2 linked regions of the Neodiprion lecontei genome follow. The protein of the gene in region 1 binds, or shares a complex with, the protein of each later gene. Links are inferred from orthologs where the notes say so. Each region holds a gene or a part of one and is shown on either strand. Other genes may lie near its edges.

Region 1 (5,269 bases):
ACCTGGACATCCCGTTGATAGTCTGCCGAAGCCTGGGCTTTATCGCGTACATGCGAGTTCAGACCAGAGAACATACTGTCATAGAAACTCACCCGGACAACGAGACACCTGATTTGCGATTGGACAATCCGTTTGAAACATTGAAAAATCATTTTGATTCAATAAATTTGGACGAACTGGACCTGAAGGATCACACTCACGTTCCATATGTTGTGATTCTGTACAAATACCTTGAGAAGTGGATATCTGAGAATGGGGATGTACCAAAAAATTATAAGGAGAAACAGCAGCTAAGAGATATGATCAGGAGTGGTATTAGAAAAGATGAGCACAATAATCCTATTGATGAGGAAAACTTTGAGGAAGCAATCAAAGCTGTTAATACCAGCGTTGGACGTTACGAGGTACCTCCCAGCGTCATGGAGGTCCTGAATGACGATTGCTGTATAAACCTTACCGCCAAGGTAGTATCGTTTCTTTTTTGTTTGAGCACTTCGACACATTTCGGACAAAACATAATGATGAAAATTTTAGAGTAAACCTTTTTGGATTATCGCCAAGGCTGTAAAAGACTTCATGGAGAATGATGGTTCAAATTCATTGCCACTCAAAGGTGCTGTACCAGACATGACGGCAGATACAGAAAAATATATATCCCTGCAACAAGTGTGAGTGTACGTGAATTTAATGTAAGTGCCGAACGGACATCTCAATGTATAATAAATTTCAGGTATCACAAACAAGCCGCAGCAGATGCGGAAGCAGTTTGGCGAAGAACAGTCCATTTGCTCAGACAGATTGGTCGCCCCTCGGATGCGATAACAGAAAAAGATGTCAAGTTATTTTGTAGACATGCTTCTAACATTTACATTCAAAGGGGATCCTGTATAGCGGATGAGTATGATCCAAAAACTGTGGATGCCAGCGAAATGAGTACGCCTTACTTTCATTTCATTCATATTTTACTTTCAGCTGTATATAGCTCATGTAAATAATGTTGACTCTTTTAGCTCAAAGTCTAGAAAATCCTGAAAGTATGATGGTGTACTACGTGGTACTCAGAGGGATCGAAAAATTCCAGGTGGAATACAATTCGTATCCAGGCGAATTCGACGATCACGTTGAACCAGATATTGTGAAACTTAAGGTACTATTTCAAAGCCTAGCGTAGAGCAAAGTTAAAATTTGTAAATAGTAGAGTATGTTTCAACTAGCGATAACTTATCACATTTGGGATGTGTGCGAACAGAATTGGGATTAGATCCAAGTATATTCTTTATAATCGTTTAATTCTGATTCTCGACAACACAGGAATTTTCAAATCTGTTTTTAGGGCCACCATACCAATAGAAACAAAGCTTTCATAATATCTAACATATTTCTACGTTTGTATGTGTACTCAGGCCTGTATTTCAAAATTGCTGATGGAGTGGGGTTGTGGGCCATTGGCAAAGGATGACTACGTCCATGAATTTTGCCGTTACGGCGGATCTGAACTACATTCGGTGTCGGCGTTCTTAGGAGGGCTAGCTGCGCAGGAGACTATAAAATTCATAACTAATCAATGCAAGCCGATCCACAACACTTTTATATACGACGCGGTAACGTCAAATTCGGCTAGTTTCTTTATTTGAATAGTAATAGAAAATTTGCAATACTATCGCGTAATACTATAATCACGTAATCATGAAATAAAATTCACTATTTCCATACAACTTGGCTAAGCATTAAATTACCTAGTCTGCAACACACGCCAAAAGATGAATGAATATCGTTAAATTAAAAATACGAAAATGCTTTTGTGTATAAAAAAGATTTGATGATTGATTTTTGACAAAAAAAAAAAAAAAGAATTTCATTTTATTATTACGTCAGATAAGGCTTACAGGCTAACTTCATGTCTGTGAGATATCAACGTTTTTATCGAACTTAAACTAGAATGCATTGGTATTAGACTTGTTTAAGAATATAAAACGTTGGTCAGTGGTGTAATTCACCGAGGTGCGTGGGAAGAGAAATCGCAGAATACAACACCTCGTTACGTTTCTCAAAAATCATCAATGGATCAACTATTTCAAACACTATCGCCTGCCTCTTCCTCTGCCACGACCTCCACGTCCACCTCTAGCGCCACGTCCACCACGGCCTCTTCCACGAGCCGCACCTAGTACAGAAAAACAAGGATTAGAAATCATCGATATGTATTAGAATACTATTGCAAAGTCTGGATTGAATGTGTCGAAAATTGAATCAAGGAAGATTAGTCACAGAAAATACTAAAACATAAATAAAATTGATCATAAAGGCCGCAAAACTTGAATGACTATAAGGACCTCGTGCGGCTTCTTTCTTCTTTGCTTTAGCCTTGGGCGTGTCATCGATAAGCAGAGTTTCCAAGGGAAGGGAATCAGGCAGAATGTAGTATCGAATGTTGTTTCCCCTCAAACTCAACGTATCGAGTTGTACAGGGTCTCTGTTCTTTATCGTCATCTTCACAGTTTTCAAGTGGGTGTTCATGGCCACATCCACACCTTAAAAATAAACATTTTTGTCATGCATCTGCAAAAACTATTTCACTTGGAGACAAAAGAGAAGCGGCCTGCTCTGTACGCTATTCCAACTGTGATTTGATTGTGTCAAGTCAAATGGCATAGGTTATGTTTACAAACCTGTGATAGTTCCGTGAACTTGGGTGCCATTTTTCAGTTCTATCGTAACCGTCTCATGGCTGAGTTTCATCAAAAATCTGAAACACGAAATATCCCAATTAATCCAGTGTCTTTTCACTCATTGCATTAACGGTGTTCGTAACGTAATTGCAACATCACTCATAGAGGCAGGTTAGGTACGGGATTTAAATCAGTATCTACAATCACACGGTAGTTAAGAAAAAAAACTATCCGAATTTATAGCAATCTAAAACTTCGATCGACGGAATGATTAATTATCGGCAAATTTTTACCTCACTAATTTCATGATGCCGATGGATTTTTCGTATAAAAATTCACAAGCACCGGCAAACCATAAACATCGTTTCAACGGCCGAAGTTCGGCGGGCTGGACGCGTCGAAAGCAGCGCCACTCGATGAACACGGATTTTCCGACAAACTGTACTTTGTGTCTATATTCACGGAGTAACAAGTTCGATTCGACAATTAAGTCACGCCAAATCTGGCTTGAAAATCGAATTTTGTATCGAATTATATGTACACAGTTCTGAATATTGTCTACACAGAATTGTCGATTGTACAATTTTCGTGAGATACCAATTGATACAACTTAATTTTCTCAAACGTTTACCTTACGTATCCAGTTTCCAAAAGTTGATGAGGTATCTCGCAGAACGTTGGAAAATCAATTTTGTTATTTGACGATATCCATGATACGCCCACACAAGTGTTTTTTCAACTTTATTTCGATTTCCCTTGATGCGTGAAGTTGTACAAGGGTCATCGACGCATAACTCTTCATATGCCTGTATGTATTATGTATATACGAGTTGTTGTAAACATCGTGGATATAATTAATCGCCGAGGAGTATTTAACTCAAGTCAGTCACGTCGCTACTCACTACTAATTGATGTGCTTGTTTTTCCTCTAGACGAACTCATCTGCACGCTCGACGAAGAACTACCTACGGAAGGTTACACATATTGTCATAAGCCCGGTTGAGTTCGGTGCACGCGATGTTTTGCCACAAACGGCCACGGCGTATTCCATCTGCACTCACCCTGCACTTACTAATCACGATAAAACGCAGGTATTATACCAACGTACAACATACGTATGCATTGCACATCATGCGTTATACGTATCCATCCAAGGGGAGAAATTAGATAAGTTTATTGCAAGTTGTCGATCGACAGATGATTATCGTCCGTGTAAGTGGCTACGCAGCTTGTGTGCTTTACGCTGCTGTATAAGACGTACACATCAGACATATTATCCATAATATTTATATTAGGCAAGCGTTAGTCCTGCATAATTTCATCGTACGGAGATCGATCACAATACCTACTATTAGGTAGGTCGTAGAGCTCTTCGTTCAATGCTGTTTAATATATATCTGATAAGCTTTTACAAATATTACGAGCTTACGTACATAATGTTAACCGCCAACTGTTTCCCACATTCTGATTTCAACGAAAATTAATCAATGAGTATAACCATATATCTATACAGGTCATGTTAATTAACATACGTCATACGCTATTATAAATCCGTGAAATTGAAAGTGTAAAATTAGTGTAAAATATTGTGAACCCAGATTCGCGAATCGCGGCACTTAATACATTATTGCATTTGCAGTCTATTACAGAGGTGATCGCGTATGCAAAACGCGTCTGGATTTTAAACATCGTATTGGAATAACAAAACTTGCGCGTAAGTGGTCGCGTACATCGTCGATGAATCATGTATGAAAGCGAGAGGTGGGGAGGCGAAGAATGACTCGGTGTATCCCGACAAACTAACTTGCACCTTATATGCATAGGCACAATAATACAACGTATTTCCAACCATTACTGTTCTCGATGTTTATCCAGCTTTATTACAGGCCTCCTTAAAGGCCTCCCGCTTTACGTATACCATAAACGTGGACTCTCCTTCATTCTGGTCCTTCACCTTTACCACAAAAACCGTCGGCTTCGTTTACCCATGGTTCCTCGACGTCCGTTAGCTGGTTAGAATTATTCCAAAAACTTGTTTACGAGTACCTACATTGACGGTCGAAATTTCTGTATTTTTATTACCTCGGTATAACTGCGTATACGTTTATACATGTATACGGAGAGCCGCAAGTCATTGGAGAGTCCGGCGCAGTGATCTCGATACGTTAATTTTTTTTTTTTTTACCTTTCTTACTTGAGGTTCTCTAATCACGTCTACCCAGAATTGCCGAGGCGTACGGCTGTGACAATGATGTCCCGACGGTCTCACGCTGGTGTGACGTCATCGTCTACGTCAGCAAAATCCTCGAGGGGGCCTCGAGGCCCGATCGGAGTCGCTGCCGCATCCGGAGGCACGCACCCACGTCAAACGATACAGCGCGTGAAAAGAATTCTAGCGCAGGATAGGTGGGGGGCTCGGATAAAACGATAAATGGTAACACCGATTTTTGCATATTGTACAGTCGTGCGAAAACTCACTGCAATAGATCACACGCTTTATCTCGGCAAAGCATTATAATTTTACACAAATTGGAAATTTTAAACATTTATTACAAGCTAAGCGAAAAAAAGGAATTTTGTATCCAGGATCGGACGTTTTG
Region 2 (7,613 bases), about 30 Mb from region 1:
GATGGATTGGAAACGTGTTTTAAAGATTACAAACTCCAAGACAGTATTGATGCATTGAAATCTAAATTGCATATTACTGATAAAAGAGAAGACGATGGCTTCAATCATCAATTACCGATTGGTACTGCCGACCTCGGCACTCACACTGGAGTATGTACCAGGGCAATTTATGTTCTTCAGCTTCTTCGCCGATGATATGAGAGCTTTTCTATTTAAACCAACCACGTTGGTCCAAGCGACCTTTTTCTCTGATATCGGTGATATATGTTATAGAATTTTGAAAACTTTCTGAGCTTTTGATCCGTTATATCAAGGTAAAAACCTGTTTGGAAATGACTAAACGGACACCGTTTCAATTGCTAATCTGTGAGCTAAGAGATACAGCTATGAACAGTTACTGGAAAAAAGAAGTTGGTAAAACTTCAGGCCAAAAATCAAATTTACCAAACGGCGTTGACCCTGTTACAACAATTTTTGGAAAACGCACTATGTCCAGTAACTTTCTTTAGTCATAAGCATTCGAAATCATTTACATATATTATTGGAAATTCTGACATTAGAATAAAAAAAATTTAGTCATTTGCGTCACAATATTTTAGATGGTACAGCAGCAGAATTGGTAAATCCTCGAAAAACTGTGACTGAAGTTATTTTAGCTTCTCGCATTGGCCATCGACTTTACAGGAAAAGTCACAATAATTATGATGTTTCTGAACAAATCAATCGAAAGTGAGCATTCTGTTGGAATTTTATTGCCACAAAAAATAGCGTTACTGATATTTTAAATAGATGGAATATGTTTATGATTTCCTTGCTTTAAATGATTTACATGTAATTGTTATTTACGACAGATATGTTGAGCCATTCAATAAAAATTACAAGTATGGCAAGAAAAATAGAATCGATAAAGAGGGTAGTCAAGTTAAGCAGTCGATGAGGTGGTTCAAGCAAGATGTTGCATCAATCGTTAGTAACCTCCAAGCAGACTTTATCAACAGGACTCATGCTCCTCTTGGTCGTTCAGTGTGCCATACACCTGAGGCGTATTAAAACTTTTGCATTTTGGGATTTTGGAGACAAATCAGAAGTTGAAACGTGATCATTTCCGGAGGGGTTAACCTTTATTGAATTCAACTGAATTCATTCAAAGTTTATTAACCCCATGAAATCGACTAAATAACAGGAGTGTCAAGGTATTTTTTTTTTTATTCATAATAGAGAATATCTGTTCAAATAAATTCCCAGTATGTTGATGCGTTAGAGGCGAAATATACAGCCAACGAGATATTGTGATTCATTATTTGTTACATTATAAAAATTACTGTCATTATTCACTAATCCTTATGCCTTCTATGCCTATTATTTTTGTCCTTGTGCGTGTTTGTCCGATCGTCACTTTCCCTGTCCCATTCTCCATGCCGATTTGGTTTGGTTGATCGTTTTGATTGACTCAATCTATCATTAGGCGTTTTATCGCTATTCCTGCGCCCTTCATTTGTCTCGTGAGTGCTGCTAATACAGTTTCTATCAGTTTCTATATCCCAAACATCTTTCACGATTGATTTGTTTTTTAGTTTCTTTTTTGTCACTCGCGTTTTGTTTTTCTTCTTCTTTTTTTGGGTTTTTTCTTTCGCAGATTTCTTTTTCCGATGGTCGTCAGATTCAGAAGAACCTAGGAAATATAGATTTTTTTTCTTTCCTTTTTTACAGCAAGAGTGAAGAGTTACGAAAAATGACAAAAAAATTTCATTTCTTTACCTGACTTGTAAATTACTAAAAAACGAGTGGTCCACTGGTTTTTCCAGAAAAAAAAATTAGCAGTTTCAGGTACCGACTTTGGCATGAAATTCTAATCCCCCAAATAATCAATTTTAAGTTGGAAAATTTTAAAAATATACATATTCGCAATTTTTGCGATTGTAATCATTATTTAGAAATATGAAAAATTTCGTACTTGCAGTCTCGGATGATGATGACGACGACGATGAACTCGACGAGGATTCGGAACTAGATGAAGATGAACTGCTGGAACTAGACGACTCTTTTTTGTCTTCAACAAATTCTGGCACTACAGCTGGCTTCGGACGCGATTTCAAGTGTTCTCGTAATTCATCCCTGAAATTACAGCATTCATATAGAAAAATATTGTTGGAATTTCAATTAGTAAAAATGAATATAACTTACGTAAGACCACCCAGACCAATGGAAGTGAAAAAATTGATAGCAAATCTTGTATTCTTTGGATCATCTCGTGGAAATAAACCCTCGAAGGCTCCTTGCAAAGTCCTTTGAATCAAAAAAACAGTTTCAAATAGAAGAAGTACAACACATCAATATCTAATAAAGACATTACTTACACATCTTTCACACGCTGATTTAATTTTGAAAGTCCCATATACTCGGATAATTCTTGGAATAAAATTTTTATGAAGATACGACTAGAGCTGGTAGTATCTTCTTCATTTAATTTTATGCAAGATAGAACCTCCCAAGAAATGGAATCAGTGAACAACAAATGAGCAAAGAATTTGGACACGTTACGTAGTTTGTTGGTGTCCAAACGATGTATTGTATCGTACGAATCGATGAAAATTTGTTCAAACGGCGTCACGTAGATTTTGTTAATCGCGCAAAATCGCTGAAAAAGCAAGTCATTCAATCAAAATACAGATGTTTCACAAAACATTGAGCAACCGCTAAGAAGCACTTACCCCAGCTAAGAGACCAAAGAATTTCTCATATGTCCTCATCTCTGCGCAACAGTCCAGGAACATGTGACATAGTTCAATTTCTTGCCCAGGCTTCAGCTGCATCTTCATCAATTTGTGCGCACATTCCTCAAAGTCGAGAGAAGAATGAATAGTTAAATAAATCGTTCTGCGCAACGCTGTTAAATTAGTTTCAGTGTTGTCGACTATAACATCTTCCTTTGCTTCTCCTGAAAGAATCCGTTTTACTTTATTATATCAAATATTACAGAATTTGAGGGACTTTTAATAAGGTAGGAAATAGTCACTGATATTATATTTTGGAAGGAATTACGCCTTCATCTCCACAATTACAAATTCCATCACAAATACATGTATCTGAAAATCAAGTTACCTGTGATATTACTATCTTCCTCGTCAGAGGAGTTATCTTCTTCATCACCATCAGAACCATCTGAACCGCTACTGTCAGTATCAAGAATCTCTTTGCTCAATGCTTTATATTTTTCCTCTGTTGCAATGTAGTCCGGATCGAACTTGAAAACGTCTATGAGAAAAAAAAATTGATAGATGCCACATTTTGAAATGTCATGTTATAGCTATGCCGACAATTATGAAGTCAATGCAAGCCGTATATTTGTGCAAGTCTTACTCAGTACATCTTGAGGGTCAGTTGCTTCGTCCAAAGTCACAAGGTGAGTAAACTGGTTATCCTCTTCAACAAGGTCAAGCTCTTCATTCACAGCCTCGTGATCTTTAAATCCGTCTTTTCTAATTTGGAATATAACTTCTATCATATATTGTACCTGAAATATGTTCAAGTCAGTGGTGAAATTTAATTAAGAAACTATGCAGCATAATTAAAGTAAAATGGAACATCCTTAATAGATCATAAAATATTGAAACCAAACTAATGTCAACGTTTTATGATTTCAGGTGTTTCTACCTACTCTTTTATCCAGCTGTCCTTCATGTAAGATGTTGCGAAGCATTTCAAATATTGCCTCGATCCCTTTCTTGGAAACCTCTGTGAGTTTCATGCCACATTCTTTCAAAAATGCGATGGCAACTTCGACGGAGTCATCAGTTGGCGTCTCTACTAGTAAAGTTAGTATTTCCAAAGCTAAGATTTCATGGGCAACACGCTGGTTGACCAAATGGGCAACAAACGTGGCCGAAGAAATGCACTGAGCTTTATCATTACGGCGAAATCCACGCTTGAACTGTATGACTAGACGCTTGAGCAACAATTCACCAATATTAGGGAACTGAAAAAGAAATGATGTGAGCATTTCAGAATAATATTAAAAAAAGGAAACCAACATCAATAATATAAATCATGTACTTTTGAATTGATCACAGCAGTAAGTGCTGCATAGATAGGTGTGAAAGTAGGGGAGGCAGCTTGAGCCTGAATAATAGATCTCGCCAACAGGCCTCGACCTCTGACAATGTTCTCGTGTAACAATTCTCTAGTGATTAATCCGATATTGCTGGTGTTGACTTTATTAATGTATCCATGAATGGACTTTTTCAAGGCTTCCCAAGATATCCGCTGGTATGCAGCTCCCGATTTGTCAGTGATCTCAGCCTGCATCATGCGGAGTTTGGCTGGTGGAATGTAAGCACCACCAGTTTTCGATGTCAGAAGATCCACCGTTCGCTTTTGCGCTGGTGTAATTTTTTCTCGTTCATTTTCCACCGTGATCTGATTCTTTTCAGCACACGCGACATCCTCATCATTTTCTTTATCGTCGTAGCGACGTTTGGGTGATTCATTCCTCTCCTCGTGACGACCGCCATAAAAACGCTGTCCTATTCTTTCTTGTTTATTGGTCGGATACTTGTTCCAGTACTGATCGCTCCAATATCTACGTAGTGAACCATTGTCATTCGAGTCATGACCCTTTCGATACGATCTATCATTCTCATCTGTGGCTGTTTGCCTGTCGTCTTCACTTCGACGAGTTCGTTCCTTGTCATTCCTATGTCGTCTCCTGTCTCTATCTCTGCCATTTCTGCTACTGTTGTTGCTCCTGTAGTATTTAGAATCACTTCTCTCCTTTCGCCTACTGTGACGATCACTCTTATCTTCATAGTCTGAACCATCGTTCTTACGTTTACTTCTCCTCGAACGTTTATCGTGTTCAGTTTCATCGTCACTGTTTATCGATGGCGAACACCTCTTGTCAGGTTTGGCTTTCATTGTGTTCTCAGACATAATGAATTATTACCAATTATCACATCAATAATTACTATGAATAAGAATATTGATTGAAAAATTTATGACATTAAGCAGCGCGAATTTTATTTCTCTGTATTTAAAAAAAAAAATTGCTGTTTATAGTGCACTCAAATCAATAAAAATATGTAAGTTCGGACCACAAGGCTCATTATTGCCACAAGACACATGGAACCATTAACCCCAAAAAACTTGTAGTACAAAATGTCAGGTCGGAGCGCTGTGCGCGTAGTTTCGAACCACTCTAGTCGTGCTCTAGTCGATCCAGCCGCGCCGGTATTACGATAAACTCGTATGCCAATGAACGGGGTAAAACCATGTATACCACGCGACAAATACGTTTACTGCAGCAAGACCACAGATCATAATTGATCCAAGTTATACACACTAGGTTTGTTCGTGCTAGCTACACTCTACACTCACAAGTGTAAAAAGAACTAGGGTAGTGTACTAGGGATTGCTGGGGAGTGTACGTTCGCTTCTCGAGTGTAGCTAAAATAGCGCGAACGCAATAGTGTAGAAGGTGCAGAGAAGTGGGGACAAGAAAATGGCGCACGTTACGTACAGTCGTTTTTTTCCTCGAAACACTTATTAATACAACAAATTAGTAAATAAGATAAAGCATTTTTGGAATTTGTTAACGAAATCTTTCATACCTTATGTTTTAAGTACACTGTTATCAAATTGAACCTTGTTTTTGAAGTAAAATACTGTACTGCTTTGTTCTGATTTGGAGTGAGGTTATGGGTTTGTTGTCACTCGTGAGTTTTAGGGTATATATCGCATCACAGTTCACTAACGTGGTGGAAAAACCTGTAGCATTCATGCGAATTGAACCATTTACACTTTTTACACCTTTTACACTTGGTCTAGACCGAGTGTAAAAAGTGTACACAAAGGCCGTGTTCGAAAATTGACTGACAGTACTATCAGCAATTTTTTATCTCTTTTGCGCTGCCGAGTTCATGGATAGCTCTGTCTCTGTCCTAGAGAATTTTTAGTACTGGCAGTCAATTTACGAACATGGCCAAAGTGTAACGAAAGTCTAGTGACATTTGTAAAACGAACAGCGCCATCGACGTCACGTTCGCTAAAACGAACGCGCAAGTGTACACTCCCCACGAAAGTGTAGAAAGTGTAGCTAGCACGAACAAACCTATTAACGGATGCGTTCCGAAATTAGCTCCCAGTGTTGTCAGCCATCTTTTATCTCTTTTGTGCTGCCAAGTTCGTGGGCGGCTCTGTCTCTGTCCTAGGGAGTTTTGACGCTGCAGCTAGTTTCGGAACGCACCTTATTTAGCAGTTGCAAAGTGAACAAAATGGGCCGACACACGGCTTGACGCGAGTAGTCAGCCGACTGGAGCCTGCACGTGAGGTATATATGTGTGAGGACCAAGTGGATGTGTTCGCTACCAATGAAAATGGTGGCTCGTTAGCGTACGTGGTTTAATCGCAGTGTTGATCTACCGGTACAGTGATATTTCATCATCAGGTGAGTTTCACGTTAATTATGAACAAAACGAAATAGACAAAATCGCAATGTTTCGGATATTTTAGTCATCGGTGAAAGATCTCGTATGGTTGTTTCCGTTTCTTTTTTTTTTGTCCGCGTTGCCGCATCAAGTAGTATCAGCATGAGGCGATATGGCGTCGTTCCTGAAACTCACCGAAACGACCATTTTGCTGTTATCAACAAATCGATATTAAACTCGTTTGATTCATTTATAATTCATTCATCCTACATAGGCTTGCAAATGAACTGATTCGAAATTATGGATTGACGCATCATTACTCCTATTCTCACAATTACTTCAATTTTAACTCGTATCTGAGACCCTTTAGGAATAACTTTCACTGAACATGATACATGTTTTACACATATACAATATTCATAGCATATAATTACGTATATATTATGTACGCCCAATTCTTATCTTCATTTCCATCTATTGTTAAATTCAAGAATTAAGCATTGAGAACTAAAATTAAGCTGTGGGGCTCGCTTTTACAATAACTTGTTACAATGTTTTTTGGCTCAAAAATTGTTTCAAAAATCTGTGCTTAATGTGAGTAATGAATATATATTACATTAACGATGCTGAAACTAACAGCCAAAGTCAGCAGCTAAACCATTCGATGCTGGTATAACTTTGTGTCATGGAATTGCTAGCTTTGGCTACTAGTACCAGTTTGATGAATTCGCTTTGGCAAACAAAGAACTATTAATTATGGCCAATAGATTTATCATTCGTATACTTCTCAAGTAGTTTTTATCAGAAGTAGTATGAATACTAGAGATAGTTTCAGTTCTTACTTATAATGAACATTTTTTCCTTAAGAATATGGTGCTAGGTGAAGAAAAAATTCGACCTATTTCTACTACAGTCTTATAGGTTTTATCAACAAGGCTGAGAATCAGTTATGGAGTCTATGGAGCCGCGCTTAGTTGCGCAAGCGTTGAACTACCATGGGCAGCAGTTACAGAAGGTGTGGGAAGGAGAGCGGAATGAGAACGAGTTGACCCTGCTAAATCTTAAGGAACCTAGTTTTGAGATTTACCAGCAGCGGCAAAAAACACTTAGGTAAATAATGCGGAAGTAAAGAATTACAAGCACACAATTAACTATTCAGAGTTATAAAATCCAAAATTTTGTTTACAGTTT

What was found.
Region 2: probable small nuclear ribonucleoprotein Sm D1 (region 1) and pre-mRNA-splicing factor CWC22 homolog share a complex: the UniProt entries of both Homo sapiens proteins name them as parts of the minor spliceosome. The link is inferred for Neodiprion lecontei from reciprocal best matches to the Homo sapiens genes SNRPD1 and CWC22.

The regions. Positions count from the first base shown.
Region 1 is NC_060261.1:43,621,922-43,627,190, forward strand, and holds probable small nuclear ribonucleoprotein Sm D1, read right to left. Parts: upstream 3,122-5,269; 5' UTR 2,977-3,121; coding exon 2,963-2,976; intron 2,747-2,962; coding exon 2,670-2,746; intron 2,532-2,669; coding exon 2,334-2,531; intron 2,165-2,333; coding exon 2,082-2,164; 3' UTR 1,635-2,081; coding exon of another isoform or gene 1,404-1,634; 3' UTR 1,273-1,403; downstream 1-1,272. Other genes in the region: NEDD8-activating enzyme E1 regulatory subunit, read left to right, coding at 1-464, 535-668, 731-933, 1,011-1,147, 1,404-1,634. UniProt on the Homo sapiens protein: Plays a role in pre-mRNA splicing as a core component of the spliceosomal U1, U2, U4 and U5 small nuclear ribonucleoproteins (snRNPs), the building blocks of the spliceosome.
Region 2 is NC_060261.1:13,514,675-13,522,287, reverse strand, and holds pre-mRNA-splicing factor CWC22 homolog, read right to left. Parts: upstream 5,317-7,613; 5' UTR 4,930-5,316; coding exon 4,054-4,929; intron 3,977-4,053; coding exon 3,659-3,976; intron 3,515-3,658; coding exon 3,361-3,514; intron 3,256-3,360; coding exon 3,103-3,255; intron 2,939-3,102; coding exon 2,712-2,938; intron 2,639-2,711; coding exon 2,358-2,638; exon of another isoform or gene 2,287-2,357; coding exon 2,185-2,286; exon of another isoform or gene 2,116-2,184; coding exon 1,955-2,115; intron 1,828-1,954; exon of another isoform or gene 1,711-1,827; intron 1,673-1,710; coding exon 1,335-1,672; 3' UTR 1,068-1,334; downstream 1-1,067. Other genes in the region: EF-hand domain-containing family member B-like, read left to right, coding at 1-150, 315-495, 600-729, 852-1,050; tetratricopeptide repeat protein 14 homolog, read left to right, coding at 7,372-7,532, 7,611-7,613. UniProt on the Homo sapiens protein: Required for pre-mRNA splicing as component of the spliceosome. As a component of the minor spliceosome, involved in the splicing of U12-type introns in pre-mRNAs. Promotes exon-junction complex (EJC) assembly.